Linked DNA regions of Drosophila melanogaster. The protein of the gene in region 3 interacts with the protein of the main gene of each other region in a pairwise test. Each region holds a gene or a part of one and is shown on either strand. Other genes may lie near its edges.

What was found.
Region 1: the proteins of CG32694 (region 3) and CG11878 interact in a two-hybrid assay, tested with the Drosophila melanogaster proteins (one large-scale study listed by BioGRID).
Region 2: the proteins of CG32694 (region 3) and CG2061 interact in a two-hybrid assay, tested with the Drosophila melanogaster proteins (one large-scale study listed by BioGRID).

Annotation. Positions count from the first base shown.
Region 1 is NT_033777.3:25,268,506-25,278,481, reverse strand, and holds CG11878 (uncharacterized protein), read right to left. Parts: upstream 4,646-9,976; 5' UTR 4,635-4,645; coding exon 3,569-4,634; intron 3,513-3,568; coding exon 3,316-3,512; 3' UTR 3,245-3,315; downstream 1-3,244. Other genes in the region: CG10513 (uncharacterized protein), read left to right, coding at 1,288-2,356, 2,422-2,621; CG11889 (uncharacterized protein), read right to left, coding at 6,940-7,136, 7,195-8,251.
Region 2 is NC_004354.4:11,089,471-11,100,844, reverse strand, and holds CG2061 (uncharacterized protein), read right to left. Parts: upstream 8,354-11,374; 5' UTR 8,222-8,353; exon of another isoform or gene 8,065-8,221; 5' UTR 8,004-8,064; exon of another isoform or gene 7,887-8,003; 5' UTR 7,801-7,886; coding exon 6,541-7,800; 3' UTR 5,898-6,540; downstream 1-5,897. Other genes in the region: CG2076 (uncharacterized protein), read right to left, coding at 8,843-8,924, 8,988-9,120, 9,218-9,554, 9,653-9,794, 9,868-9,979, 10,047-10,266; vago, read right to left, coding at 10,858-11,119, 11,186-11,324.
Region 3 is NC_004354.4:9,983,896-9,994,982, reverse strand, and holds the start of CG32694 (uncharacterized protein), read right to left. Parts: upstream 5,289-11,087; 5' UTR 5,111-5,288; exon of another isoform or gene 5,023-5,110; intron 2,006-5,022; 5' UTR 1,938-2,005; coding exon 1,794-1,937; intron 1-1,793.

The DNA.
Region 1 (9,976 bases), on a different chromosome or scaffold from region 3:
TGGGCTTCCACGTTTTATGTCTATAAGTTTAAATAATAATAAACAATCTCATTTTAAATTAAATGTTTATCTCTGTTATGGGATATTTGACTTTCCAAAATTCAAGGGACTAGTGCAATACGGTTGGGACATTTTTGATCTGAGACATAAAATGGCCAACATGTCGTATAAGCTATTTTTAAAACATTGAGATAAGAATAACACTTGTGTTCTCATAAGTGGGTCATAATAATTTTTGGTATAAAATCAAAAAGCAAAATAATGTATCGTTCCTAAAAAAAATTAAAGAGAATATGTAAGACATGTTTTGAATCTGACATATGTAATGGATCGTTTTTTATTTATTTAGGTGCATTATCTCCAATTGACAATATCACAATTTTTAATTTATTAATGAGAAAAGAAAGAAAACGGATATGCGTACCTAATAAGTTGACCATCAAAGAAATTCTCAAGTTGGAAGGTATGTTACAGAATACATTCAGCAGGAAAACAGAAAAGGTATTCGCTCAAAAGTAGGCAGTGCCGTATTCAAAGCTCCTCTTGAAAATAAACAGATCGTAAATCCTCGAACAGATGAAAATAAAAATTCTGTTGCTAGATAAAGGAAGACCCGACATATATACAAATGTACATTCAAGATTGTTATCGGCTACACCTGAAAGTATGCAGGGGAAATCTTATCTCCTCTACCCATTATCTTGGCACTTGAAAACTTGTTTAACTATTTTCCTTCTGGGCTATTCTGTTTCGAAAATCCTTGTGAAATTCAAAGTTTCCGACTGATTATTATAAATACGTAGAACGTTAAATACTAGGAAATAAAAAACGAAACCATTGTAAGTCTGTAAATAGCTTAACTATCCGGCTCAACTATGCAAATGGATGGACGGCAGATGGATTTATGGGCTGTGAAGTAGATTAGTTTGACGCGAGCACGAGAGCGATCTTTAGACGCCACGTCAGCACCATTCGGCATGAATTACGGCGGGCACACTTACATCATATATAGGAACGTGCACCGATTTGCGAGATGTGGGGGTGTTATCTCACCCTGTCAAGTGTCGCGCTCCGAGATCTGCTTCTATCTAGTCAGCTTTAGATACTCACGAATCTCTGTCGTATGAATCGAAATCCACGGGCAGCAGCTACGTAATTGTCTGAGCCAGCTTGCTTTACGGCTACCATAATGTGGGATCTGTTGTCGGCGAGATTGCGTCTTCCGGCTGCCTATAAATGGGGCCTTCGACTGGACCAAGTGATCCAGAACACAAGTCGAGCATCATCATGGTGGAGCAGGGCAAGGAAGACGCTACCGAATTTCATCCGGCGCCAGAGTGGCTAGATGAAACCTACTTGGAGCGACTGCTCCGGGATTTGAAGAATGATCCGGGACTGAGGATCACCGATTTGGTGATCAAGCCCGCCACTGCCAAGGGTGACAATTATGCTAGTGTGATGACACGCGTGCGGATTTTGTTCTTGAAAAGTGGCGCCAAAAGCCCCGAGACTGAATACTATATTGTGAAGACCACCTATGAGAACGATGCCTTCGCCTCTGGAATATTTTCCCAGTACCAGGTTAGCACCACGGAAATGCGTATGTACGAGAAGATCCTGCCCCAATTGAGCTCGCTCATCGAGAAGACTCGCCAGCCGGAAAAGGTTTTCGCCAAGACATTGCATGTGGACTACGAGCACGAGGCCATCATCTTTGAGGACCTTGCGGTGACGAAATATGTCCTGGCCGATCGTCTGGTTGGTTTCGATCTGGAGCACACCCGCTTGGGACTCCGAAAGCTGGCCAAGATGCATGCGGCCGCTGCTGTTCTGAACGAACGTCAACCCGGATTGCTGACCAAGTTCGATCACGGCATCTTCAATCGCCACACCCAGGCCTTTGCACCCTTCTTTGTGAATACGGTGGGCGTGGCGGCTGACTTTGCCAGGGAGTGTCCCGAATTGGGTGAGCGGTATGCTACCAAATTGAAGAAGCTGCAGGAACGTGTAATGGAGTACTCCACAAGAGTTTACGATCCCCAACCGGGAGATTTTAATACATTGGTGCACGGTGACTACTGGGTGAACAATGTGATGTTGCGCTACGGCGAAAATAAGGAGCCACTGGACATGACTCTCATCGACTTCCAATTCTGCAGTTGGTCCTCGCCGGCGGTGGATCTGCACTACTTCTTCAACACTTCGGTGCAGGTCGATATTCGCTACGAACAGCAGGATGCCCTGTTTCAGTATTATCACACGGTGCTCGTGGAAACGCTTAAGGATCTCAACTTTGGTGGCTACATTCCCACATTGAGGCAGTTCGTCCTGCAGCTCGAAAGGGGCAGATTCTTTGGTGAGTCCCATCTGGAATGATTTTCAAAAACCCATTATAATTGTTTATATTATTGTATCTAACAGCTGTCACAGTCGCTCTGGTCTGCCAGGCCATATTGACCAATGACCAAAACGCCGATGCCGACTTTAATGCTTTGATGAAGGATGACGAACGAGGCCGTAACTTCCGGAAGGTATTGTACACCAACAAGAGGTTGCAGGACAATCTCAAACGCGAGCTGCCACGCTTCGATCGGAGTGGTCTACTAGACGTAATTGACTGAATGGAAGCCATCATATACTACGAGTATTTGATAAAAAATAAAAACAAATTTTATTTTGAAGTTAAAACCATATGAAAAGCAGTTCATTTTTATTGCAAGTTGGTAAGCAATAAGATTAGAAATAGAACACACAATGGTTCTATTGTAAATGTTTGTATTCATAAAACTATATTAAATGTGACGTTTTAAAGCAAACGATAAGCGGGCCAACGGTGCGTATGAGTTATAAGGGGGACGCAACAATTCACTTACAAGTTTTTTCCTCAGTAGTACACCTTGACTTGTTAAATACATTCGTATTCGTATTTATTTGTTGTAGGTAAATATTAGTTTCTTTTATTAGCTAAAACATCTGCGGCTTATCTTTTGGCGTATCGCGATTGTTTCTATTTCACCACGATTCAAGGGCTTGTAATTGTTATCTTCTGAGATTTTTAGTATTGCTTGCACCTTTTGTTTGTCAAGAGTTTAGCACTATCTTGCCGAAATAAACTCGAAAGCGCTATTATCAGTCATGAACACTGTATTTCATATAAAAAGGTCAGTTATTGCCGAATTACACACATAAAGTGCAATCAAGCTATTAGATAAGTATTTTCCCAGGAAATTAAAAGCAACGACGTAGTTGAGCCAATACGTAGTAGTACTTAAACTTTTATTTATTTTAACTATTTACACAAGTTCAAGATTATCATTACATGTCATCCAGCAATCCAAACTGATCCAGAAAAGGCAGTGTGACACTTAATTTCTTTTTTATATTTTCCGATTCATAAACTGAGTTCTTGAATCGCATTCCACTCTCGGAACTGGATAGGACCTGCTCAATAGAAGCATCCTCTTTGCCCTCGTACTGCATGACAGGCTCAAAAATCAAGGAACAGAATACGGCTGCGGATAAATTATTTAAAAAACTATTTTGAAAGAGAGTTAAGAACTGTACCCACCATAGAATCCTCTCGAGCGGAACTGCAGTTGGAAGTCGAACAAGCTGGGTATCCGACCAGCATATTTTAACTTCCTTAGGGCCTCCGTCAGCCTATAGTAATAAAACTGAACCAATTCTGTTTGATGTTCCAAGCGAAGATTATCCTGCAACGAGGTGGAGAAGAAGTAGTGGAGATCGATGGCCGGCGAGTTCCACACGCTGAACTGGAAGTCAATGAAGATGGCATTCGTGGGATGCTCTTTTGCATCGTACTGGAACATAAAGTTGGTGGTCCAAAGATCTCCATGGGCCAGAGTTAAAAAGTCGCCAGGACTACTAGTCGTCGATCTTTCGCCATAGTCCATCAAACGTTCCACAAGCCTGTCGATCTTGGCCTTGTACCGCTGTCCCAACTCCTCATCCGAAGCAAGGGAGCGGGACAGAGCCTCCAGAAGATTGGTCATGATCGGGGCGTATGCCCGGGTGTGTTTGTTGAAAAAGCCACGATCATAGTTCTTGTCGAAGATACCCGGCTGTCGCTCGGCGAGAACTGATGAAGCTGCATGAAAGAGGGCCAGTTTCTCCAGTACCAGGTGGGTGTGTTCTAGGTCCAGCTTCTTTCGACGGCATGCAACCTTGTAATGATCCAGTGACATGTCCTCGAAGATGATCGAGTCCCTTTCGCGGTCCACATTCATGGTGGCCGCAAAGAGCTTCCTGGAGTCTTTAAGCTCCTTCCTCACCATATCCGCCAGCTGGGGAAGGATGTGCTCGTATATATCCATTTCACGGGTGTAGACACCATAGTGGATGAGCACATCGCCGGCTGGATCCCGGTCAGCGAATGTGGTCTTAACCAGAAATGTGGTGGACTGTTTCCCTTTCGATACCTTGGTCGTGTACTCCACATTGATGCGGGTCATCACGCTGCCGTAGTTTCCTCCATTGGCCACGGCTGGCTTTGTATCCAACGTCGCCAGCTTCAGTGAGCTATCCTTGAAGTAGGTGCGCAACTTATCCTGCACATATTCCGAGGTGAGCCAAACTGGCGCTGGGTGAACTTTGTGGGTAGATTTCTCAGTCATGATCCTATCCGTAACTCAGGGCTTTCGCTTCTGCGACATTGCGAACGGAGTCCGACCACTTTTATAGCCAACTTTAGTGTATATATGATAAGTTTAGTGCAAGTATCTCGTGGCAACTGGCTTCGTCATGGACAAACAACACTTGAACAATTTCGAGTCTGGTCGAACGCTCACGTTTTTTGCAATGCACTTTTTATTAAGTATTCCTGGTAACCAAAATTTCGCAACTTATCACCATATACAGATTCATCGCAACAAATTTATAATTAATTCATTTTGTTTTACATTTCCCAAAGAAGAGAAATACAACTTAATATTTTTTATTGTTTGTTATCGAATATCGTAAAAAGTAAGTGAATTAATTTAGTGGGTTGCCTTGATAGTTTTTCCAAGAATTCCCCCGTATCGTCGTCTGTAGCTAATTTTAATGTCAATATCAACAAAAACAATTAGAAAACTTTTTAATACGGATTTTGTCCCGTTTTCATGTTTTCTAAACATTTACCTACAATTAGCACCTGTGAATTGTCATTCATAAGTGCATACACAATTAATAAAAGTTAGTAATAGCAGGGAAAGTAATCGAAATTATTTTGTATTTATTATATTTTATAAGCAAATATAAAATCTATAATTACGATAATAATATTACTATTTTCGCTTTACATCACGTCTAGTAAACCCAAATGATCAAGAAAGGGCAAAGTGAGACGCATCTTTTTCCTGGTCTCCTCCGCCTGAAATGCGTCATCCTTAAAGCGCATTCCCTTCTCCGAAAGGGATATTATCTGATCCATTGATGCCTCTTCCTTGCCCGTGTACGTCATCGTTGGTTCAAAGATCAGTGATGCGAAGGCAGCTGAATGATAACATAAATGAATATAAATTCCTTAACCAGGCACGTTAGTATACCCACCATAGAAGGATCTGTTCCTGAACTGCTGATGGAAGACGAATAGGCTCGGAACATTTCCGGAATACTGGACTTTCTTCAAGGCAGCATTCAGTTTGTAATAGTAGAACTGGACCAGCTCTGGCTGTTTCTTCAGTCGAATATCAGCCTGCAAGGCCGTTGAAAAGAAGTAGTGTAGATCGATGGCCGGCGAGTTCCAAGCACTGAACTGAAAGTCGATAAAGATGGCATTTATGGGATGTCCTTTGTCGTCGTATTGGAACATAATATTGGTGGTCCAGAGATCCCCGTGAGCCAGGGTCAAAAAGTCACCGGGAACAATGGTCGTCGATCGTTCTCCGTACTCCATTACGTTCTCCACCAGTCGATCGATCTTTGCCTGGTAACGCTGACACAGATCCGGCTCCAGCTCCAGGGATCGGGACAAAGCCATCAAAAGATTCTTCATGATGGGCTCGTAGCCGCGGGTATGCTGGTTAAAGAATCCACGATCGAAATTCTTCGCAAAGATTCCAGGCTGGCGCTCAGCCAAGGCTGCTCCGGCAGCATGGAAATTGGCCAGCTTCTCGAGTACCAGATGAGTGTGCTCCAGATCCAGTTTCTTGAGCCGATCGGCCACTCTGTAATTCTCCAGGGACATATCCTCGAAGATGATCGAGTCCCGTTTCCGATCAACATAAACAGTGCCTGCAAATAGTTTCCGGGAATCTGCCAGCTCATTTCGCACCACTTCCGCCATCTGGGGCAGGATGCGCTCATACAGATCCAATTCCCTGTTGTACACTCCGTAGCTCAGGAGAACCTGCGCCGCCGGACCTGCGTCGGCAAATCTGGTGGAATCTGGTGGATTGTTTATCCTTTGATTTATCCGTCGTATACTCCACATAGATGCGAGTTATCACGCTTGAGTAGTTCTCCCCGTTGCCAAGGGCCAGCTTGATGTCCAGGTTCACCAGGCGGAGGGAGTCATTTCTAAAGTAGGAACGCAGCTTCTGCTCCACATAGTCGCGAGTGAGCCAAGCGGGCACCACTTGTGCGCTTCTATTGATTTCCTGGTGATCAACACTGCGGATTTTTCATCGGTGGGGTTCCGCTTTTATACCTCGTCGGTTAGGTAAGTACACATTTATTATTCAAGTCTTATCTATCATTCTATCTGACATTCCTGTTATCTTTCAATTCAACCATTTGAATTAGCTATTAGAAATCGTCATTGAGCTTATTACATACATATCCATTTGATGCCAGCGAACTACTAGAAATTTCTAAACAATTAATTGCTAAAAATAACGAAACTATTTTTAAGCTAAATTTCTAGGTAGATAGCAGTGATAATTTGATTAATTGACTTATACTGATAAGGAGCATTTATTTATTGTGTGGAGCATTTTCTTACATTTCGTCTAGTAAGCCCAGTTGATCAAGGAACGGCAGAGTCAGGTGCAACTTTTTTAGGTTCTCCTCCGTCTGATACACTGCATCCCTCAGTCGCACGCCCTTCTCATCGCTGGTCATGAACTGCTCTATGGACGGCTCCTCCTTGCCATTGTAGACCATAGTGGGCTCAAAAATCAACGACGCAAACACAGCTGAGTAAAATAAAGAAATTAAAAATTGTATAACATTTTATATACTTCGCAAACTTACCATAAAAACCTTTGGTCCGAAACTGCTGTTGGAACTCAAATAAACTCGGAACCTTACCCGAATATTTCACCCTTTCTAGAGCCACCACTAGTTTATAGAAGTAGAACTGGACCAGCTCGGTCTGACGCTCCAGACGAAGGTTTTCGTGGATCGAGGTTGAGAAAAAGTATTGCAGATCGATGGCCGGAGAATTCCAAACGCTGAACTGGAAATCAATGAAGATGGCATTAACTGGATGACCTTCGTCATCGTACTGGAACATGACATTGGTTGTCCAAATATCTCCATGGGCCAGAGTCACAAAATCGCCGGGAGCGACAGATGTCGATCTTTCGCCGTAGTCCATTACATTATCAATTAACCTGTCAATCTTCGCCTGGTATCGCTCCTTTAGATCCGGACTCAAATCGAGGGTACGCGACAAGGCCTTAAGGATATTTTTCATGATGGGCTCGTAGCCTCGTACATGTTTGTTAAAGAATCCACGGTCGTAGTTCTTTTCAAAGATTCCCGGTTGCCGCTGAGCCAGAGCTGCCCCCGCTGCATGGAAATCTGCCAGTTTCTCAAGAACCAGATAAGTGTGCTCCAGATCCAGTTTCTTCACCCTGCACGCAACCTTATACCTCTCCAGCGAAAGGTCCTCGAACATAATCGAGTCCCGCTCACGATCTACACCCACAGTAGCTGCAAACAGCTTCCGAGAATCGTGGAGCTCATTCTTCACTATATCCGCCAATCGGGGCAGTATCTGCTCGTACATGTCGATCTCCCTGGTGTAAATGCCGTAGTTGATGAGCAAATGGGCCGCCGGGTCTTTGTCGGCGAAGGTCGTCTTCAGCAGAAAGGTTGCGGACTGGTTATCCTTTGAATCCTTCGTAATGTACTCCACACTGATGCGGGTCATCACGCTGGCGTAGTTCTCTCCATTCGCTGTCGCCGGCTTGATCGTCAGTTTCTTCAGATTCAAGGTGTCATTCTTAAAGTAGACTCTTAACTTTTTCTCCACGTACTCCTCTGTCAGCCACGCGGGCGCATTGTGGGTCGTTTTCTCCGGCATAATGTTGAAATTCTACTAGCTTTCGTCAGAGGTGGGCATGGCTTTTATACACTGACGAGATGCTCATGATTAGATGAGACGGCACAGAGCGTATCTCATGAGTCGTAAGCTCCTTAATTGCCGGCAATTGAAAAGATAGGCGACAGCACATCTGAAAAAATTTATTAGGATAGGGCTCTGCACTGTGTGAAAGATCATAGAATAGCGACTGTTGTTCAGCTAGGCTAACTAGCTAGACCAACTTATAAGTAAAAAAAATAAAACTTCACATATCGTCTAACAACCCCTGCTGATCCAGAAACGGCAGAGTGAGTAGCATTTTTTCTCGGATGTGGTCAGCATGATACACAGAATCTCTGAACCGGACTCCACTGGCGGCAGTGGACAATCCTTGTGCAATAGACGCTTCCTCAGTTCCGGTGTAAAGCATGCAGGGCTCGGAAATCAGTGAGCAGAAAACAGCTAAAAGAATTTCTTAAATTAAAATTTATTTTCACTATAACTTGCATATACTTACCATAGAAAGATCTAGCCCTAAACTGCAGTTGAAATTCAAATAAGCTCGGAATACGACGCGAATACTGTAGTTTCTTCAGAGATTCCACCAGCCTGTAGTAATAAAACTGGACCAATTCAGGCTGATGTTTCCAGCGAAGATGGTCCTGGATCGAAGTGGAGAAGAAGTAGTGCAAATCGATGGCCGGAGAGTTCCACACACTGAACTGAAAATCAATTAGGACGGCATTGATGGGATGACCCTGTTCGTCGTACTGAAACATCACATTTGTTGTCTAAAGATCCCCGTGGGCTAGGGTTAGGAAATCTCCTGGATTGGTCAATGTCGATCGATCGCCGTAATCCATTATTGTATCCACTAGCCGGTCTATCTTGCTCTGATAACGATCGTTTAAATACAAATTCAGCTCCAGGGAGCGAGATAGAGCCTGTAGTAGGTTCCTAAAGATTGGCTGAAAGCCTCGAAAATGTTTGTTAAAGAATCCTCGATCGTAGTTCTTCTCAAAGATTCCAGGCTTTCGCTCGGCAAGAACTGCTGCAGCTGCATGGAAATCAGCCAGTTTCTCCAGGACCAGATGTGTGTGCTCCAAATCCAGTTTTTTAAGCCGGCAAGCGACTTTGTAGTCCTCCAACGACAGGTCCTCAAAAAGGATTGAGTCCCGCTCGCGATCTACATTGACGGTAGCTGCAAACATCTTTCGGGAATCCTCGAGCTCGCCCCTCACCATTCTGGCCAGGTTGGTTGTTGTTGGTACATGTCCATTTCTCTGATGGAAACCCCGTAGCCGGCCAGTATATTGGCTGCCGGATCCTTGGCGGCAAAGGTGGTTTTCAGTAGGAAAGTAGCGCTCTGAGTGTCCTTTGAATCCTTTGTGCTGTACTCCAGATTGATGCGGGTCATCACACTGGCGTAATTATCTCCTTTTGATGTAGCCGGCTCAGTCTCTAGTTTCTTCAACTGTAGAGAGTCGTCTTCAAAATATCTGCATAACTTATACTCCACATATTCCTTTGTGAGCCATTCAGGATCGGTATGGGTATTTTTTTCTGACATTATGGATCCGAACGTTAGCGCTATAGTTTAAGCAGTGAAGACAGTTTGCGATATTTCCCAAAGTCTTATCATCTTAATTACGACTAACTACGCTAATCCCTCTGGTTAGGGGCCCCCAATAAAATCGTAAAGTACATTTTATTCAGAGTGTTAGC
Region 2 (11,374 bases), 1.1 Mb from region 3:
AGCCCATGGCTCGAACTGTCAGAGCTGTGCATTGTTGAGGCTACTGTGTTAATTTGTTCGACTGTCGGTCCTCTGGACAGAGCGTCGGCTACAGTATTTTCTCTGCCTGGCTTGTAGAAAATTTCGTAGTCATATTCCTCAAGGTATGCTTTCCATCTCTTAATCCTCGCATTTCCATTCCAACTACTGAGAGAATGGGTCAAAGGCTGATGGTCAGTAAAGATTTTCACCTTTGCTTTACCGTAAAGGTAAATTTTTAGCTTTTTTAGAGCCCAGATAATGGCTAACATTTCCTTCTCATTCGTGGCATAATTTTCTTCCGCCTTCGAGAGTGTTCTCGATAAAAATGAGATGGGTCTGTTCTCTTGTGAAAGAACAGCACCTACTGCGAAATTGGAAGCATCCGTTGTTAGGTGAAATTCTTTCTTAAAGTCCGGGTAGTGGAGTATTACGTCTGGAGAAACCAAGCTGCTCTTCAATTTCTTGAAGGCTTCTATTGCTTCGCGATTAAGGGAGACGGATTTTTTTGACGATAATGTCCTGGAAATTCGACCATCCTCCCCTCTCAAAAGCGAGCTAAGTGGTTTTGCTAACTTAGCGTAGTTAGGAATAAATCGCCTGTAATATCCGGATAATCCCAAGAATGATCTCAGTTCTTTGAGTGTCCTTGGAATTGGAAAGTCTGAGATTGCCTGTACCTTGGTTGGGCTGGTTTCAATGCCCTTGTCGGACACGACGAAGCCTAGGAACTCCACTTTTCTCTTCATGAACTCGCATTTATCCAACTGACATTTCATGTTGGCTTGCTGAAGAGTTCTGAAAATAGTGTCAAGGTTCTGGTAATGTGTTTCATCATCTTTACTAAAGATGATGATGTCGTCAATATAAATGAAACATATCTTACCGATATGTTCGTGAAGAATATCGTCCAGTGCGCGCTGGAAAATTGACGGTGCATTTTTCAGACCGAATGGGAGTCGTGTAAACTCATATTTTCCATTATTGATGGAGAAGGCGGTCTTTTCGATATCAGATTCCTTTAAAAGAATCTGATGAAACCCACTTTTCAGATCGAGCACTGAGAAAATCTTGTTGTCTCCCAATTGGGCCAACACTTCATTAATGTCAGGGATAGGGTATCTGTCCGCTACCGTTACCATGTTAAGTTTTCGATAGTCAATTACCACCCTGTATTTTTTCTTGCCAGAGGAGTCGAGTTTTTTTGGTACAATCCACACTGGTGAATTGTAAGGTGACCTTGAGGGTCGAATGATTCCATCGTGTAAAAGTTCGGAAATTTGTTTGTGTACCTCGTCTTTAAGAGACATTGGGTACTGATAGAATTTTGAGTATATTGGCGTATCCGATATAGTTCGGATTGCTGCCCTTACACTTGTTGTGTAGGTTAGTTTTTGATTCGGGTCTGCGAAGAGACCTGGATACGAATCAATTATTTTATTCAATATCATTCTCTGTTTTATTCTCGGACTAATTGTGCTAACAGCCTCGAACTGTTTTTCTTTGAGAACAACTCTTTTCCCGTTTTCCAGTGTCATGGTTAGGTTCTTCAAATCAATTTGCGCTCCCATTCCCTTCATTGTGTCTTTGCCAAGTATGGCGTCAAAAGTCTTCAGCGTTGGTAACAAAAAAAATTTTATTTCGAAATCGAAAAGGCTTGCTCTTTTGTAATGCGATATTTTTACATCACCGCCTGGAGTATCAGCTATGTAAGGCTTGTTATTTGGTATCGCGTTCGTCACCAAATTGGGCCGGATGTAATTTTTATTAGAGCCTGTGTCAATCAACACCCTTAAAACCTTTCCACTCCCCACTCTACATTCGAAGTATGGTAGTGAGGAGTCTTCTACTCTAAAAAATGCAACACGTGGTCTCGTTGTTCGCTGTCCAAATTGTCTATTTGTCCATCACAGTATTCATTTAGTGTGCCGTTTATATTGTTCTGGGTTTCATAATCTTGCATCGACCGTTGATAGCCTGTCATGCTTGAACTGGACCCAGTTACTTCAATACTTGGCTGTCTCATGTTCACTGTTTGGATGTTGTAGTTCTTTTGTCGTTTGTTTATGTCCGAGTGTGGTCTATTCATATAATTAATGTTTCGCGTCTGTACACTGCCGTCCACGTCCATTGGTTCTGGTCTTGGTTGTGGTTTGGTCGCAAAGGGACGGGGTGGGGCATTGTATTGTTGCCATTGCTGTTGATAGTTTTGTCGGGGTGGAATGAACGGTGCATTACCGAAGTTAGACACGTGTTGCCTTGGCGCCGGGAATGGCTGGCCTAAATATTGTGGAGGTCTCCTCATGGGATGTCGTGGAGGGACCGGTGGAGGCTGTCGATGGCCAAAGGCATTCGACGGCTGAAAATTGCGGGGTGCCGGAATGGGTTTTTCGTTTCCTCTGAAACTCGACTGTTGACCCTTATTCGCCGCATGGTTTGACCTGAAAGTTTGATTTTCAAGTTTAAGGCAATAATGTAAAGCTGAGGGGAGATCAGCTGGCTCTTTTATTGCCAAAAGGCGAGGTAAATCTCCTCGAAGGCCTCTGATAAAAGTATCCAGAGCTTTTTCTCTGTACATTTTTGTAACAAAGTGCTCGGATTCTCGGCTCATTTGCATGCAGCCGACTTTATTTAGAATAAGCGACAGATTTTTGTAGACGTCTTGGTGGAAGTCTTCCACCGACTGCTGGTGGCCTTGAACCAAAGTTGACATTTGGTATTCCAAGGTAGTTATGTCCCGTTTATCTGCGTAATGCAGAGTGAGACATCTCGACATGGCCTTCCAGTCCAGCGGAATGCTGTAGGACTCGAGTGCCACATCAGCACTTCCAACAATTTTATTTCTTATGGTATGAAGTATACCATAATATTTTGGAGTACCCACAAATGGGGTATAAGTCTCCATGATTCTATCAACGCTCTTTTTCCAAGACCCGAATTCTGCTGGATTTCCAGAGAATTCCCTGATCGATTTTACGATATCAGGCACCCTGTCAAAGTCCGCTAAATTATTTCTGTATTCGGGCTCGACGACCTGGTCGCTCACGTCAGTAAAGTCAAGAGTATTGTTGTTCATTTGTTTTATCAATCCAGGTAAAACTTGGGCCACCGTTTGGCCAATTAATGCTGTCAACTGTTCGACACTCATGTCTACGCGATGCTGTTCAGGCAGGTCGTGTCTTTCTGAGGGCACCGGTCTTTCGTTTGAACTAAAAGCTGATGGTCTTATTATATTATTAGGATTTGCCATACTGATTTTTAATTCGGACAACACCTGCACAAAACAAGCCTAAACCAATTTGAACTTAACAAAAGTTGTGGGCAGAAAATATGGAATGCGTGTGTATGTGTTTGCTTATTTATCTTTTGTTTTTGTTTTTTTATTTTTTATTTTTATATTTTTTTTTTTTTATTTTTGCATGCAATAAATTTTAGCTCACCGCGGTTATTTTGCTTTGAGAACAGTGTACCAGAAAGGAACAGTAAATAGGAAAATTTTCCTTTCAGAAGATCTCTAGGAACTGGGTTGAAAATATAGTATTAATAATAATATCAATAATAATAATAAAATAATAATAGTAATATAATAATAATAATGTAATAATAATAATATAATAATAATAATATAATAATAATAATATAATACTAATAATATAATAATAAAAATATAATAATAATAATAATATTATAATAATAATATAATAATAATAATATACTTAAAATTTTTTTTTTTTTTTTTTTTTTTGGTATACTTATGTTTTATTATGGGTGGATGCCTGAATTTCAAATTGCTGATGTTTTTTCCAGTGTACTTTCCAGGTTCTTGTAGTCTCTCTGCCTCCTCTTCGGTTGTTTCAGCTTCAGCTTCTTCGTCGTCAACGTGTTCTTATTCCTGTTCTTTTTGGCGGGCTGCTGCTGCTGCTACGGCTGTGCTGTTGTTGTTCTTTTTTTTTCCTTCTTGTCTGCACTTTGGTTCACGCAGCCGTTCTCTGCCGTTCGTCGTCTTTACCTCTGCCGTTACGTTTTGGGTTGCACTGTTAACTGTTATCCGTGTTGCTCTTCTGTAGTTCCGTTATTCTCGGCGTTCTACTTCTACTTTTCCTTCTCCTTTTCGATGAAATTGCTGTTCTTCGTTTTGCATTTATTTAACATAGAATTGTTGCGGTCACTCCTCCTGGCTGGGTGAATGTTGTCCTTTTTGCCTGGGCTACTGGGGAATCCACGTCAGCACTCCAAAGAAGGTTTTCTGCGGGCTGGCCTGACAGAAACTGTGATCCACCAATGGGCAATGCTATGCCGATAAGTATTTTCCTCTTCCGGAAAATCTGTTTTTTTCTCAAACAATTTTATTTTATAGCCGACCGTGAATTTTGTTTGTTAATAACTCGCGGGAGTTTCTTCGGCACAATTTAACCAACGAATATTTTTTAGCAAAATTTTGATTTTGCTCCGCGACTTAGAATTTTGTCTTTCGTTCGCGTTTATTCGCTGGTCCCTGTTCGGGCGCCAGTTAATAATTACAGTTATCGATTTGATTTTGAAGATCGCAAGCGACCGTTTATTGCAATTTATCATTTGAAACTAAATCTAGCGTACAAAATGTTTCCCTAAGTCCCTAGCAATCAAGTGAAGTCGTCGGCAGCGGCGCAGCAGGCGTCGGCCGCGGCGCAGCGCAGAAGTGTCGATGTCGCGCTTAACCGTTCGTTGGCGTTGATGGCAGCGGAGACTATGTGGAACCACAAGATGTTAGAGAATCAATTGCAGGGCAATAACTTATATTTTAATGCTTGAAAATTCGATTTTCCTGGTAAACCAAAAATTTTATTTCTAATTTACAATATAAGCTTTGAATTGATTTTATTTACAATTTCCTCTTTAAATTACAAAGTTTTTTTGCACTGTAGCACACTTTAGTATCCTGACTACAGTGTACCAAATCAGGTTTAGTCGGTTTAGATAAAACATTTGGTATGGTAATAAAGAAAGATAGCCGCAATTTCAAGTTGAAAAGATTTTGTTTTAAGCAAATCAAAACAATGAGGAATTTGTTTGCAATGTGAGTTTTGTGCACATTACTCATACGCCTCGTTGCCCGTTTTCTTTGTCAAGTGGCCAGCAAACTGGATAGACTACAAATATCCCCTTACTGCTGGCACTTGCTTGGGTATCAAAACACACTTAATGATATGCACCTATAGATCGCCGATAAGCCAGTATGGCTGAGATATGGCCAAACGGATACGACGGTCGCTATTCCGGTGATACTCAACTGCTGACACATGTTACACATGCACGGCACTTGATGTATGGTATGAAGTGGAGTGGAGTGACCCTCCTCCTACAAGCGATCGTTTATTACGTTCTGGGCCAAAATAAAATATATATATGGGCGTGGGATCTGGACAGCCATCGCACAGCCATGTAATAAACAGGCAATCAATTTGGTTTATAGCGCCAAAAGCGAATTAGTTAAATTACAAGTAGATGGAACCTCCCTTTTTAGCGAACTACAAGGTTTAGTTTAGATTACACTCGATACGGACCCTTAACATACGTTATCCTAGAAATATTCGCATATTATTGGAACTTACTTTAATGCCACAAGGCAATCCATTAGATGTATATTCATTCGTATCAGGTTTATAAGACGCTAATAAACCAGATTTCAATCAATTTCTATCCGATAAGCGTGCTTTTACATCAGCCAAAGTACTTAAGATAATGCAGATAGTGAATCAAATATAAATAAAACCGCAACTTGGCAATAATCCGTACAAGGAATCGGTAAGCTATAGGTTCCTGAAAGTAAATATATAATATATAGATTCCCTCCTTTACCTTAACCATGCCAAAGGATCTGAATAAGAGTCATTTTTTTTGGGGTATTTACCCGTATGACCATGGATTCGATTGCCGTGGTGGGATGGATCGAAACTGGTCACGGGATTGTACATATCCGTATAAAATAGTACAATAATTTATTTCATTCTCATTGACAAATAGATTGAGAGCTCGTCGTGGATTACTCGTAGGTATAAAGCACACTATGCATGTAAGTATTATGTTTGTCTGTATATAAGATGTCAGCGCAAGTATGTATATGTATATATATATATGTATTATATGAAGTGTATATATATATATATACACATATACTATAAATTGTATATAAATATAATGTATATGTAATATGTCTGTGTATAAGTATCAATGTATTAAGTTAATTGCTTAGCGTAAAGCACAGAGAATTTTGATATGAGAATGACTGAGAACATTCCAGCAAGCGGTGCGCTCAGAGATCGGATACGGGCTCCATCGGGACCTGGGATCTATGCAGCACCTAGCATCCTTCTCCATCTTTCACTCCAACGTCCCAGTTCGCTGGGTGAACGCAAAGGCAACAATGAGAGAAAAATCGGCAAACAAGTGACTAGAAATGATGATAACTCTCCCTGATTCGAAAGTATGTTGTGTTGAGCATTGGTCGGGCTGAATAGGTGGAGTGGGTCGCCGCCTACGGGTTTAGTGAAAGACATCCATGAACGGAAAGTAGGCCTGCTCCGGCTCGAGCAGATCCACGAGGTAGCAAACGGTGCCGGCCACACCCTCGTACAAGCTATGCGGACGATCCGGTGTGCGGGCGCGCAGCTTGAACTCGGCATTGGTTAGCAGCTCCATAAACTTGTGCGCCCTGTACAGGTACCTCATCTCGTTGGTCAGGCGGAACAGGAGCAGGAAGACATAGCCATTGCCGGCGACGCCATGGCAGATGCCCGGTCCCTTGCGCAGGAAGCCCTTCTTCCACACCATATCCGCACAGCGACGCAGCGAGGCCAAGTACTTCTCCTCCTTGAAGATCAGATAGGCCTTGGCCAGCACATAAACGGCGCCGGGTGCCCCATGGCACCAGTGCACCAGACGCTTATCCCTGCCGGAGCGCAGATCCTCCAGGGCCACCGGAAAGTTGCCATCGCTGTCCTGCAGCTCCAGAAAGAAGTCAATCGAGCGCTTGATGTCGCGCAACTCGGCGGCCGGCGCCGAAATGGGAAGCGTGCGGAACCACGGGCTGTCCAACAGCATGTGCAGAATGGCGCACAGGCCATGGGCCGCACCCAGGTACTCCGTGCCATGGTATTGGTACATTAGCGGACACGGCGAGTTGTTCTGCTTGCTGTACTCGCGGCCGCTGGTCACGATTAGCTGGCATATGGATACCAGGTCATCGTCGGTGATCTTCTTCTCCGGCAGTACATCGTTTAGCCAATAGCAACCGGATAGATAGCCGGCACGTCCAACCAGCACCTCATCGCAGCCGTATTTGGTGTGCATGAACTCCTTGCTGCACGGGATGCCCGACTTGAAGTTGGCCAAGTCGTCGGAAAGCTCCTCGGTCTCCTTGAGCGCCTGCGATATGGCTGCCGAGACGGCATAGATACCAGCATTGCCGCACAGAAAGGAGTAGCGCTCGGCGGAGCGCTTCTTGTACCGATTGGCATTCACCTTGGCATTGCGGATGAAGGAGGCCGCGTGATCCAGTGCCGGATAGAGATCGCGTGTCTGCTCGCAGCTGTTGAGCTTCCAGAACATGAAGGCTATGCCGGCATTGCCCACATACAGATCACCGCGATTGTCCTCATCATCGCTGTTCGGATGACAGTGCTCCAGTATGGCGTCCACATAGGTGCAAATCAGATTTTTGATGTGCTCCTCGTCGCTGGCGAAAGGTGTATTCTCCCCGCCGGCGAAATCGGGAAAGGGATTCTTCAGGTAGCGGCGTTCCATGGCAAACTCCTGGCCAGGATCGATGGTCAGTTGGCCGGTCTGCTTGACGTCTGCCTCTTCCACTGGACGACTTGCAATGGCACCAGCTGAAATCGTGCAAACATGCGGTATGTGGTGAGTGCAAGTTAGGAAATCGATTTGCCGGCTTTAAGGGCGCGGTCGGGCGTCTGGCAGCCACCACCTCCTCCTCCTCAAACACTCACCTGTCTCAGGTGGAAATGGCAGTCGTGACTTCGTCGAGCACCTTCTGGCAATGGGACGAAGCTGCGGATTGACCAGAAAATTAAATATATGCAGTATTTGGCTAACTTTTGTTGTATTATCACCGAAATACGAGTTGTGTGTGTTTGCAGGGACGAGAATGTTTGTCAAGTGTGTCTATGAAGTGGAAAGTCGGCGTGGGTGTTTTTCTCACAGCCACCTAAAATCCGGAATCTTGGCGCTTCTGCGGGAGAACTTATTTTCGAACTGTCGACCGGCTCGACTCGAAATATTTAAACAATTCTTGACAGGAATGCTTAGGTCCTGTCGAAAAAAGCTGAATGAAACATCGATTGCATATCGATACATCCCTAGAGCCCAATTTCACTTTGCCATCGGTTTTTGAATTAAAAAAAAAAAAACAGAGCTTCTGTACGACCAATAACAAATATTGCACGAGGTAAATTTCTAACTAATTAGGTAATACGGCAAACGATCCGTAATAAAAGTAATTAAGCTATCGATAACAACGAACCCAACTGCTATAAATATCGGTTAAAAGCTAGCTACATTTATCGCTATCAAGCTTAAAATTGACTAACATTTTAAATTGATCTTAAAAAATGCTTTCTTTTTAGAGATTGTATATAATATATGGACAATATATTATTTAATTTCTAGGTCTGGAGTGTATTAAGACACTAATTGAAATTAGCCAAATTGAAACACAAAGTTCGTACATTTTGCTTCCTAACTCGATCGGTTTATTTTAATAACAGTATAAATATGTATGTATATTTTAGAGGGTATAATCCTCGCATCACATGTTCGTCTCCAGTGCTCACTTCCTGCGCTGACCACCACTCAGAATGGTAACGATGCGGATGAATATGTTCAGCACGTCCATGTAGATCGACATTGAGCTAAAAGATAGAACCAAAAAGTATAGAGTTTCAGAGCACGGTATGGATGAGGAGTGAACTTACGCGTTGATTGGATCGTAGGGAGTGTAGCTGTACTGGGGATAGACCTCAGCGCGACGGACCATGCGCTGAGTGTCATAGAGCAGGAAGCCACTGAAGAGGACGAGGCCGCCATATAGGGACATGGAGGCCAGACCTGCGAAAAGAGAGTTGAATGGGTTAACTCCGCTTGACAATTCATAAAATATAATGCGAAGTGGTGCTAGCCCCAGTGGAACTTTCTGGCAACTCACCTGCGCCCAGCGCCGTGGTGGGCGGCAGCCACATGGATGCCAGCGAGGAGGCGAACACCACGCCCAAGCCAATGGCCAGTGGGCCGCCCATGTAGAGGAACTTATCGCTGGGTGCACACGCGGCGATCGTGGACAAGCCACCAACAATGCCGCCCGTGTAGAGAGCGGCGCGCGTCAAAATCGGTCCGCCCATGAAGCAAATGGGTGCGATCACGGCGCCCAGAATGGCGCAGTGCACCGCCCAGGCCAGATGCTTGGCTCCCAGACCCGGCTGGTACTCAATCGAGCGGGCAACTGCTCCACTACCAATGACCAGCGCCAGCGAAGCAATGGTCGCCTAAGCGATTAAAGGCAAATGAAGAGGAAGTGTTATGTTCTGTTGTGTCTGTTGGTCAGGTAGGCGGCAAGAACTACGAATTGTGCAAGAGGACTCACCAAGATGCCGCCACGCGAGGCCAGCTCCAGGAGACGGTGCGAACGGAAGGTGGCTGCTGCTGCGGCCGCGGTGAGAACGCAAGAGCCACCGAAAAAGGCATAGGTGCTCTGGATACGATCGCGCACAAACTGGGGCCACATGCTAAACGGAAAATATAATCTCAGTTATTAAAGTCCCTGTATTTCGCAAGTGAGAGACTCGTGCTATCACTCACATGGCATTATCCGCGATGCTGGTTTGTTTTCCCAATCCCACGCCGTAGTAGCACAGGGCGCCCAATCCCACGGCGGCTGCTCCGGCGGCAGCGCCCTTGCCCATGGAGTATGCTGCACGCCAGAAGAGTACAATTAGACGACCGATATACATAGATGGGGGATTACACAAGAGACTTACCATTGGCACTTGGCGGACCCATCAGTTTCTCCTTCAGCGAGGGAGCACGCATCTCTTCGACGGGCTCACGGGTGCGAACCACCCTGCGGGCGTAGGTGCGCACCGTGGAGAGATTCAGATTGGGATTGGCATTGGCCCGGAACAGCTGGGCCGGAGACTGGGCCAGGATCTTGATAGCCCCGGCTGGACGGGCGGTGGAAAGTGCTAGACGCAGCAACATTGTGTTGTTGTGGTGAAATTCGGTTAGAGGGCAATTGGTTGTCCTTCGGTAAGTGCTGCTTGATTCGGATTCCTATGTGGGGCACTAGCGTTTCTTCCAACTGATTTTAATTGCTCACTGCGGCTTTATAATTTGTTGATTCGTAGAAATTGTTAAATATTTTACTGTCTCTTGTGCTTTATTATCGATAAGTGGTGCAATCGTTATTCGATGTCTGGCTACGTGATAACTAAATGCCTATCGCAGACGGCCACAAATACCGCTAATATCGATATTATGCTAAAATATAATATTGAAAATCCCGAGAAAATAAATAGAAATATAAACTCAACGATCCTGAAGTAAGGAATTCAAATCGTAGCCCGTTGTCTGAGATAATTTATTTGATAAGCTAAGCAATGCTATCGATAGGGCGCCAAGTTTGAATAGCGAGTACAGTGGAAAAAATACACTTCTTTAGACAAAAAAAATGTGAAATTTAAATTTATTTAACATATTCAAGTATTCCGCAATAAACTCCATTTGTATTTGTACACATTAGATCTGCACTAAAGACTAAGTAGTCCTAGGAACAGAGTACCAGTTCACTTCTCACACCTGATACTTCCTCGCCGACGCCGTGTGAATCTCGCCACGAGGGGGTGTCCGCCCGTCGATCACTATCATCTCAGTGAGATGGGATGATCGCAGAGTACCATAGTGGTCATATATGTTGGTCTGCTCCAGAGTTCCCCCCGAATTCGACTCGTAGCTCTTGCACTCATACAGTGGGCAGCATCGGGGATATTCGGCATGCGGGTTCGTCGATGGAACTGGCGTGCAATTGCCCTGCGTCAGTTTCGGCACCTGGCAGCTGGACCATGGATGAGTACGATGATCTGTTACCCGATGCTATGGCATACTAGTACGGCACGCTTACCTATCCTCCCAGAGTTGCAGCGTTTCCAGGCATTGGATGCGGACGCACTGATCCTCTCGCGTGAAGACTTCACCGATATAAAGCTGCCGACCCGTCAATGTATCCATACAGTACTGCTGATTGTACAGATACGCCGAGGCTATAGGGTGAAAGGGAAAATCAACGTATATTACTGGAAAATATATGTGT
Region 3 (11,087 bases):
CATTTAAAATATATATATATATATTTAGTGGTGCATGGTATCACAGCTTAAAGTTTCCTCATACTTTGTTAAGCAATTTAGTAAGCCGTTTAAATGGTCTCTCGTTAAAAAAGATAGGCACGTAATGGGCAGCTTTTAGCATATCATTTGCATATTATTTTATGGTAAAGTTTAAGAACTATTATTTAAATATATCACTGCTGTTGCGTAAATACATTGCTATACAATATAGTTTTTAGCTCCCACTTAAGATAAATACCAATTGCTACTTCTTAAAAACGGCTTTTGTGCATAACCGCTTTTGGTTTCACAAATAAAAAAAAAACACAAAAAACAAATTTAATTAACTTGTTAAGTGGCCATTTATTTGCTAATGCTTCCTTTCAGTTCTGTAATATTTAAATACCAGGATCAACAATACTACTTTATACCAGGAAAAACGAACTTGCAAGTTTTATTTATGGTTTTCACATGCACATAAAAGTAATTGCACGCCAGCTTTGATTGACAAATATTGCGACGTTGATTATATTCATATATTTTTGATCTTTTTGTTGTTGCCACACAGCCTTTGGGCCATGTGGAGTTTTCAACGATTTCGGAGATTTGTGCAAATTTGTTGCACAAAGTGAAAGCCATAATATGACATAAAACAATGCTAAAAACTGGCCAGCTCTCTGGACGAATAGTTTCGGCTAACAAATTAGCAGGGGGCTGGGTGTACGGGGTGCTAATTGCCGACACAGTGATACAATGATCCCCAACGATGATCGAATGGCATGGGTATGGGAATACTACGAATACGAATGGGAATTTGTGGGGAACTATCTCGCCGCTCGGCAATTAAGTAATAAAATAGCAGAGCTGCAGGGGCTTGCTCAACTCAACTGGCAAAGAGTCCGGTTTTTTTTTTGGCCAGGCCAACACCCAGCTGAGGCTCAACACATCAAAAAAAAAAAAAAAATGCATAGGCAATCGGCAGCTAAGGAAACAGGTACCAAGTGTGCCAACTTCCTTGGAACTGGTACTGGTCTGCTCTCCAAGAGATCGCAGCTCTGATCCAGTCACGCAGGTTGGACGGGCCCAGAGACCCCGAGACCCGAATTGGCCAGGCCAAAAGCCGCATAGCCAAAAACCAAAACCAAAACCGAAAAGTAAAAGGAAGTTTTCGCCGACTGGGCGACAAACATGTTTGGCCGCTTCCTCCCCCTTCCGTAAAAAAAAGCAGCCCAATCCAAGTGCAAATTTGTCAAGCAAATATGGTCGAAAGGGCAACTGAGGCGGCAGCACGCGCTGCTACTCTGCGCCAACTGAATGCTAGCGAGAGTCGCTTCAAGAGTTCCAGCACATTTGCCATTAACTTGAGCACTTGACCAATTAGGTTTATGGTCTTCAATTGTTTTATTACAGCATGTCCATGTTTAATAGATCTTTTACGATTTCATAAATAAATAGTCAAACGACCTTGTTGTTTATTTTGAAACCACCCCTGCCTGAGAAAAGAGTCTATGAAAGCTTTGAATAATATTTGTTTTACACACTCGCTTGTTTGATTTTTGGCTACTTTATCACTTTCTTGATACACTCAGCAAGGTAAATATTTATTCTGTATTAAGCTTCTCTAAATAAATTGATAGCTTTATTATGAATTTTAGCACGAGCAGAAAATTTGTTAATGCATGATCGTAATTCAGAGATTTTAAACCCGAAAATATACCAATTTAAGGCTATCAAACGCATTGAGCTCATTCAGAATATAACCACAAAAGTGTTAAGAATTATGATGGACTCACCTTGCCATTGGCAAGCGGGATTTGGAGGACGTCCAGCTCGGAATTACCGTTGGCGGGCTGCGGTAGCGGTACGGCGCTGATGAGGCAGGCGGCGCTGCCGAGGATCAGGAGCGCCAGGATGTGCTGTCTACTTGGCTGCCTCATGCTGTTTTTGTCGCGTGCGCGTGTGTGTTTGTGTGTGTGTGAGCGGGACGTGGGAGTGTGTGGGTGTGCTGGAACGAGATAACATGCTAATTAATGATAATGCAGAGACCAAAGATGGCAACAAACTATGCATAAAGGTCAGCGGGCGGTGACCTTCTGTTATCGCGCGCGTTTCTTACACCTTTGAAATCGGAAATATATATATATATATATAAGATAAATAAAACGGAATCGAAGCCGAATAAAAAACGAACATCTTGTTTGATTTCGAGTCTGTGGTTTTGGTTAATCTTTTTTTTTTTTCCAACCGTTTGTTTGGCTTGCTGGCTATTCTCTGGCCACCAAGGTCTTCGAAACGATGCGGATGCTAACGATAACTGTCAATAGGCGATGGCCAATGGCCAATGGCCAACTATGGCGGTGGTTTGGTCAAGTTTAAATATTGGACATTTCTTGGGCAACTCGGCGTATGAGTAATGCCAGCAGTATTAGTGTGCTGCAACGGCGAGCAATTTTTAAATCACAACAAAAAAAATTATGTAATTTTTTTTTTTTCAACTTTTTATATTTGGCCAGCAGCAGCAGCAACCAGTATTTGTGTGTCTGTTTTATTTTTTGTGCAATTTCTACGGCCAAAGCTTTTTAAAGCTGGGCTTTTGTTAAAAAAGAAATTGAATAAGGCCCAGTGAAAGAGGGAGAGAGAGAGAGAGAGGGAAAGATAGCGTTAGAGAGGGAGGGAAGCACACAGGTGCGAAAAGCAAGGCATCAGTCGTAATTACACACAAAAATGTGAGAAACTGCATTAAAAACAAACCAATCTCGAAGCTCTAATTGAAGAAAGGCAGCGGCGTGGAGAGCGCGAGGGGTATAATTTCTTTGGTCAACAGCTATGCAAAATTATGAGTCATCGCGAACCTAATGAGAGAAACTAAGTACATAGTAAGGGAAACCGTAAATTAGAATCGCTGATTGCCTTATTAGACTTTGACACGAATGTGAGATGACATTGCGAGCTCAAAGGTTAAGGCTTTGCCAATTGGAGATCAGCTGGTGAAAAGTTGAATAACAGATGGAAATACGTCGCCAACAGGTAAATACTAAGTCAATTATAATCGGTAAAAGCAAAACAAGGTTCTCAATTGTACTGCCTAATAAAATGAATCACCCCTGGGATTAGGGAACTTAAGCTCTATTTCTTTGGAAAACACTATAAAAAGTTAAACAAATCCCATCTAATTCCATTTCGATCATGCTAGTTATGATAAACCATTATATTAATATGAGAAATATAACAAGCAGCATATTTATAAAGAACATGCAAAAACATCTGCAAATTTAGTGGCAAAACTATATAACCTAAAACTCGGCAACACCCATTTAAAAAATCATAATAAATGTATTCGGGGAAACTCCGAATGCTCAAGACGTTAAGTCATCTTCGGCTGAGGCATGCAAGAAATGAACTTGAAAGCGTATTTTGGGCCGTTTTGTTTTGGCCGCCTTTGCTGCTGTTATGTTTTTGTTTTGCTGTCAATCAGGCAATCACACCAGCAATTTGGCAATACAAAAGCGTCGAGAAAGGGGGAACTTCAAAACTGGGGATTGCCACCTCGAGGCGAACATGCAACGCTGATGGTCCGGTCATCGTCATCGTCATCGCCATCGTCTTCTTCTTCTTCATTGCTGGCCCGTCTTAACTTGGCCCGAAGTCTGCTGGCTGTTAAAGTAGGGCGTAAGCGCCAAAATCCAAAAAAAAATCCGACGAAGGCGACCACAACAGAAAAGCAAAAGAGAAAGAGTGAAAACCGGCAACAACAGAGCTCCACCAGATGTTATGTCATCTTTGGGCCTGTTGCTTTTACTTTCAAGCTCTCCTTCTCTTTCTCTTTCTCTCTCGCTCTCTCTCTATCTCTCTCTCTATCTCTTTCACACTCTTTCTCTCCCTCTCTTTCACTCGCTTGCCCTGAGCTGATCCATTTGCTTCTAACAATTGTCCGAAAAGTGATCAGTGATCAACAACGTGACTTGACATCTACCATTCGGTTTATTTTTTGTATTTTTGCATACGGAACTTGGGGCTTTTATGATTACGACTCACTGGCAATTGCACAAATATCATAAAACTCATAAAAACGAAAAATCCGCATCTGGCATTGAGTGCATGCTTCGGCATGGACATGTCGTAATTAAAAGGCAAAGCCCCCAAAACACAACAGCGATAATCAAGGCTTGAGTGGGATTTCGGATATATGAGGGATTTCGAAATATAATTTAAGCCAAGTGACTGGGTGTTTTCAAAAAAACAAAAAAAGAAAAAAAACTGAAGTAGTGCACTTCCTGTGTCTCACAGTTTGCAATTAAAATTCGCCCTTGCGAAGTTTGGGTTCAGGGAAACGGTGCGTATGCGTGATATTTTCACAGGGGAGTGTGAAACTTTGGTAGTTCCTAGTAGCTTATTTTCCAAAAACTATCTAAAGAGGGTAGCTCAGAAAATTCTAAATAAGTTTATTTATTCTACTGTTTGGAGTGGGGGGTTAAATAAGAAAAATTCCAAATAAATTCTGGAAAACTCGAAGACAAATTTTTTGAAGTCCCCATATTTTAATAAGCATCTTATTTTCTACAGATATAAGAATAATATTCAACCGGCTTGTCAATATTCTCCCTGAAGATATCTGTTCCACTTAAGTACCCGCCAAATAAAGCCCCTCGCCAATCGATTTCAGCACTGCACACGAAACCTCTCGAAACGCAATTTGGAAATTGGCAATCAAAAACGTTTTTGTGTTAACCAACTCGCATTAATTGGGCAATCCAAGCAAGGTAAATGAATGCAGCAAATGAGAAATGAGACAAAACCGAAAATAGTTCAGCACACGCGTCAGGTATTTATATGTTTTTGTGATTTTTTCGGTGTGTTTTTTTCTTTTTTTTTTTTTTTTTTGGTTACTTTCAGTTATTTCGTATTATTGTTCACAAGCCAAGTGTTCTTTAAAAATTGTTAAGCACAGCAAAAAAAATTGGAAAAAAATATAATATAATGTTTTTGTTTAAGGTTTTTTCAATCCGAGTTTTGGTGGTTTACTTTTTGTGTTATATCCTCGCGAATATAGTTTGTTCTTTGCGATTTTTATTTTTTAGCACATCACATTGTTGTTGGTGGGGATACATACGCGTTTTGGCCAAAATGTAAACAGCCCAAAAAAAAATTATATATATTTCTTTTTTGTCTAAAAAAGAAACAGCAACAATTGCGTGGATCGGTGGATCAGTGGATCGTGGATCGGTGGTGCGACTGACTGCGACTGCTTCTCTTTGTGGTCTGGGCTGTTGGGCCTGCAATTGATTACTAACGTGATTTTATCACACACAAGCGACTAAAGCTCGAGACAAAGCGCGCCGTGTACGCCGGCAGCGGCGTTGGCAGCGGCGCCTCTGAAAAAACGCCCGCCGTACCGCCTCCGTACCGCTTGAGCCGCCTCAAGTCCAAGTCGAGCCGCTCGAGTTCCGCTCGAAACGAAAACGAAAGTGAGCGCCAAAAGTCAAGCTTGAGTCGCTCGTGAGCTTGACCAGGCTTTTTGAGTGGTTTCCACTGGCGTTTCATTATTATTTTTACTCGTTTTCATTTTTATTTTTTACGAGTAACTCCTGCTGTTTGTTTTTTGTATTTGTTGTATCTTTTGTATTTTTCCCATTTTTTCGACAAGACGATTACGCGAAAAGTTTCCGCCTCGTGAGTGCCAGCTTCAGTTTGTCAGTTTGTCAATCTCCATCAGCTGGCTCAGTTTGTCAGTGGGCCGTGGCCAGGATTAGAGCCAGTTTTATTTTCGCCTTTTTATTTTTATTTTTACTTATTTTTTTCTTTTACTTTTTTTTTCGTATTTTTAGTTTAGTGGCTTACACAACCTCCTGTGCAGCTGCGCATCTTGAAGATGCATTTTTATTGCCGCTTCCCTGCGATACCAAATAATCGTTGGAGTTGCATTTATCGATATTGCCAGTCGCTACAATCGGACACTTCAATTTGATTCGATTTGATTGCAGTGCCCATTACCATTCCGCATTCCGAAAGTTAGGCAGAAAACAAATAAAGCAACAGATGTCTTTGGCTTGAAATGGAAAATTTTATGAAAATTGCCAGCCAAGTCGTGGGGTTAATGGAAGTCGTGACATCGCCGCACCACTATTCAGAATATTTCGAGTTACTATTTAGAGGTACTTAAAATGTATGAGTTCTTAAAACATTGCTAGTTTCTATGATAAAGAAATAAAGTTCAGTTGGGGAAACAAAACATACCTTTAATGTCTTATTTAAATGCTAATGGGGAAGAATATGTATTTTAAAATGTATAAAACGCTGAAGTTTAAGCATTGACAATTTAATGTATTTATTTTCCCAGACACTGTACAATAGTTCTGCTGAAAATAACTTTAAGCACATATAACTGCCATTTTTAAACACATACTTTTCATATTATAGAAATATTATATTATTATTATTGTTAACTAAAAATTTGTTCAACTCCTGTCAATGTTTCAAGCGCTTTAAGGGTTCAATTAAGTTCACTGAACTTGGTCTTTGGTCCACAAAATTCTATGAAGTGTTCCACCACTTAGCGCTTCGAGGGTCTAACTGGGCCCAAAAGGTTGGCCACAAAATTTCCGCACTGTCATGCTGGCCATGCACTTTGGCCAAAAGCCACTCGATAATAATCAGAAGCAGAAACCTTCGGCCAGCCACAAAAGCGCGAAGGAAAAAAAAAAAATAAAGAAACTCAAAATCGAATACTGACCAACCGCAAGACAATGTCGCCGATCTGTGGTTAGCGACAGTTATGCGTTGTTCTTGAATGATCGATCATGGTGATAATGATCGTTGTTGTGGCCATAATCACGGTGGAGATGAAGATGTAGCGTTCATATGACCTTCTGTAGAATCAGAACTGACAGCAGCCAGTCGGCTGTGGACGACATTTTTGATAGTTTTCAGCACGCAAGTGAATGGAATTTCAGCTCCTAGGCTACAGTGAGGCCTGGCTAAGGATGCTACGAATTCTGCGACACTTTTGGTATCTTAAAACAGTAGAGGAATGGGTTACAAGACTTAAAAAATTAATTGCTTATTGCGTATACTAGAAAATTGCATATATGAATATTTTGCCATTTTAGTTGTTATGCCTAATTTCCTCTGCCAGTTTTTATTATATTAGACATAAACTAGTCTACCAGGTATGATTATTTGTATTATTTTTTTAATATAGAGACCACTGTGCTGGCAGTGTGAACCGGAAGCTAGTGCTCAATGCGACTCGATTCGAATCGTTTCCATTGGATTCGATTTACTTCGATTTGATTATTGGTTCGAGCATCGCTCTTTTATTTGGTTTTTATATATGATTTTCCATTTTTTATTTTTTTTTTTGGACTGGGCAACCGCATTACCTTCGGCGGCGGACTGTCGCCGCTCTGAAGGATAACCGGTAACCGGTAGGCGGCTTTTGTTTAGTTTTTTTTTTTTTTTGGCTGGCGTTGCCCTGGGTTAACGACCAACTGGCGCAAAAGTGTGGAAGTGCAGGCAGACATGCATGGCAGGCTACAAATTACGCATACGCCGCTTGGTACCGAGCCCAACTGGAGCTCAACTGGAGATACTGTATCTTGCCGATTGCAAAAGCAAGAGTAACAAATATAGCTAAAGCAAAGCAAAGCAATAGCAAATGCGAAGGCAGGCGAGCCAAAATCAGTCAGTCGGTCGGTCGACTAGTGAGACTCACTAAACTAACTCACTAAAAGTTGCATGCGTTCGAAATCAGTTTAAGGTGAATTAGATTTTGACACACATACAGCGACAGCGTTTTGCATAAACACAAAAAAATACGAAAATATACGAATATACGAATATACGAAAATTATGAAATTAGTCTCAGTGGCCTGGGTCGTTCGCTTTTGCGAAAAGCAAAAGCTGCCAAATCGAAAATGACAACGAAATTAGCTTTAATGGCCGGACTTCAGACTCTATTGTCTAGCTCTTCTTGTTGTTTTTGCGACTTTGCCACGCCCATATGGGCGTTCGCAATTTGCATAAGATGTTCTATTTGAACCCGAACACCAAAAGGGGCAACTGCTCAGCACGAGACTAAGCCAGAAGTTCTTAACTACTTAAGGTTCTGTTGAATTGCAGTTTTAAGTCTTAATTTACACACTTTTTTTTCCAGGAAAAGTAAGTTGAATTGCATATTTTGTATTCTAATAGATATTTGAGCAATAAATCCGACTTAGTACGCTTAGTGAAATAATAAAGTAAAATTACTCTGGCCATTTTGGTCCTCTTTTAATTCGCATGCAAACTCGAAGTTAACATATATGCAGAATTTGAATACCTCTGCCAAATGTTCCGACTTCTTTGGGGACCCTCATCGGCCCTGGAAAGCGACTATACTTGGTATACAAGAGGGCCAAAGTGGCGGAGCCCATTGTCCCTGCCATTGAACGGCAATTCATGGCGCATCAATTAATTCTGGCGACGTTGACATGGCTTTAAATCGAGCGACTTGCAGACGAAGCGATCCATTGGAGTGGCAATCGGGGGCTACACTGATAGATGGGGAGGGGGGGTCTATGGGGCTTTTGAGGGGTATATTGTGCAGATTACTGACAGTTCACTTTGCCGTGTGCCCAATGGTGCAATTAAATGTAAAGACATCGCCGAAGTCACTGCCATTGTTCGGTGTTTGTTTCTTGTTTCTTGTTGCCTGTTGCTGTTTCAGTTTCAGTTTTAATGGCAGCCCATAGACAATAACAAGGTTGGTCTACAGTTTTTGTGCTTCGTTTTCTTGGTACTCTTTGGATTTGATTTAATTGCCAGCGTTTTCGGACCATTACAGGGACTTAATTCTTCGATTTTATGAGTAATCCGGCAAATAGCTGTGCCGACGAGACCCTGAACGGGATGATGATCTACGATTCGGACTCTGACCCGGATTGTAGTCGTATCAATCGTCACGTTCCACGTTCCCAGTAAACACACAAAAAAAAAAAACGCCGAGTCTGAGCCTTGCATAAATTAGCGATTGCCAAAGTCTCTCGGCGTTTTTGTCTCAGTTTCTCAGCCTCCGTCGGTGACTAATTGCAAACAATTACTAATATTAAGTACGAGTGGTTGTCCGAGTGTTCAAATAATAAGAGATACAAAGTGTCCCAAATGCAAGCAGACAACTTGATTTCTGGCGTGAAAAGGAAGCTGTCACATTGGGAGATTGGGCCACGATTCAATCGATGATGGCGAATTTTAAATGCTCTGCAAGCCAACAAATAATCTTTGTTGATTAGTGAAAGTAGGGGGTAGACCAGATATTAATCCAAATATTTATTAACTTATATAGTATAAAAACTGGAAAATATATTAATGAACCTTCTAGAGTACTTCAACTCAACTTTTCCGATTTTGTTGTTCAAAATGGACTTTAAACTCATGGTCAAATAGTTATAAATCCGCAAATTCACAAATAGTTTAAATACATTCGGGAAGATGCTGATGTTGGACTTTCGGCAGGCAATGAGCTCATAAAGTTCACCATTATCCACTCAACCGCTTTGCGAATTCCGGCAGGGAAATGCAAGGGTGTGTGTGTGTGTCTATGTGCTTGGTATGAAAGGCAAAAATATCATAATGCATTTAAGCCAAGTTAACATGTTAACAATTCTGTGGCTGCGGCGGCTTTTGGTTTTGGCCGTCATTTTCAGTTGATTGGCAAACCGAACGTGGTGGCCCACCGAAAAAAAAGAGAAGAGATAAAATTAAAAAGTTTTGGCTAGACAGGGGCGGCGGTGGGTTACGGGGCGTGGTCCGGCAGTAGTGCTATGAAATGGCGACTCTGTAGTGTCATGATTTATCGGAGCTGCCTGGTTAACTTTTTGCCCTCAAAAATAAAAACAAAAACCAAAAGAAAAGTACGTGATATTGATCAGGTTAACTCAGGGGTTTTTTCCATATTTTTTCAAACAACATTTTGGTATTCAGTGACATCGAAAAACAAGAATATTACCCACAACTCTTTAACACCATGACTTGGCGGATATCAATCAGTCAGGCCTTCTGGCAGCTGTTGCCTAAATTTAGACTGTCTGGCTTTGATCGAAGTGATTGGCCGAAAAATAAAAATAAATGAGAAACCGCTGCACAGAGCTGTAAATAATTAAATCCATGAGTTGGCGCAAACAAAAGTGGCGATTGTTGTTAATGGGAGAGCAGCGCGAATTGGGTCATTAGTCTGGAATCAAAAAATCCTGAGCGGGAAGTCAGACCAACGGCAGCCAATTACACAATGTTTTCAACGAGATTTTAACAGCAAGTGATTGCATAAACTGGGGATTATATTTAGATGGATTGCTTGTGCAGTAAAAACATCCACTTTATTTATAAATAATACCATTATAATTTATTGGGGCCACTTTCTGCACACATACTTTGGATGGAAAATAAGGACAACGATTTCCGGTAAAAGTTCAAAGGGGTTATTCATCGTTACTTGGCCAAATGTAATAATAAAGTTAAGTAACTGACTGATTTTAATATCCAATAATCAACGTAAGAGAATTTTTTCCCTTTTTAGCGGATTCAAAAGAATTCAGTTATGGGTAAATTTTTGCATGCATTGTCGTCAAATTTGCAAAAAATAGAGTTCTTATTTTAAAATGTAGTTTGATTGGGAAATTAATAACGAGCTAAACTAGGTATGGCACTCCATGTTTAGACAATTATTTTGAAAGTTATGGAAAAAAGACTAATTATTTTATGACAGAAAATCGGTGATTTGCAAAATTACATTTTTACGAATGTATTTTTCGTCATAACTTGACTAAAAATGCTAAAAAAGATGAAAGAGTTAATGCTTTGAGCAGCCAATTATCAATGCTAAAGATCCCTGTCACTTATTGACAGATTTTGGGAAAAAAATTTTTGGGTGAATTTTTGCATTTTTGTAAGGGGTAACATCATCAAAATTTGCAAAAAATCTGAAAAAAATGGAATTTCCATTTGTGAATACAGTTCGATTGGGAATTTAAATACGAGCACAGCGGTGTATGACATTCCATATTCAGACAATTATTTTTTGAGTTGTGTTCAAAAAACGGATTATTTTATCGCGG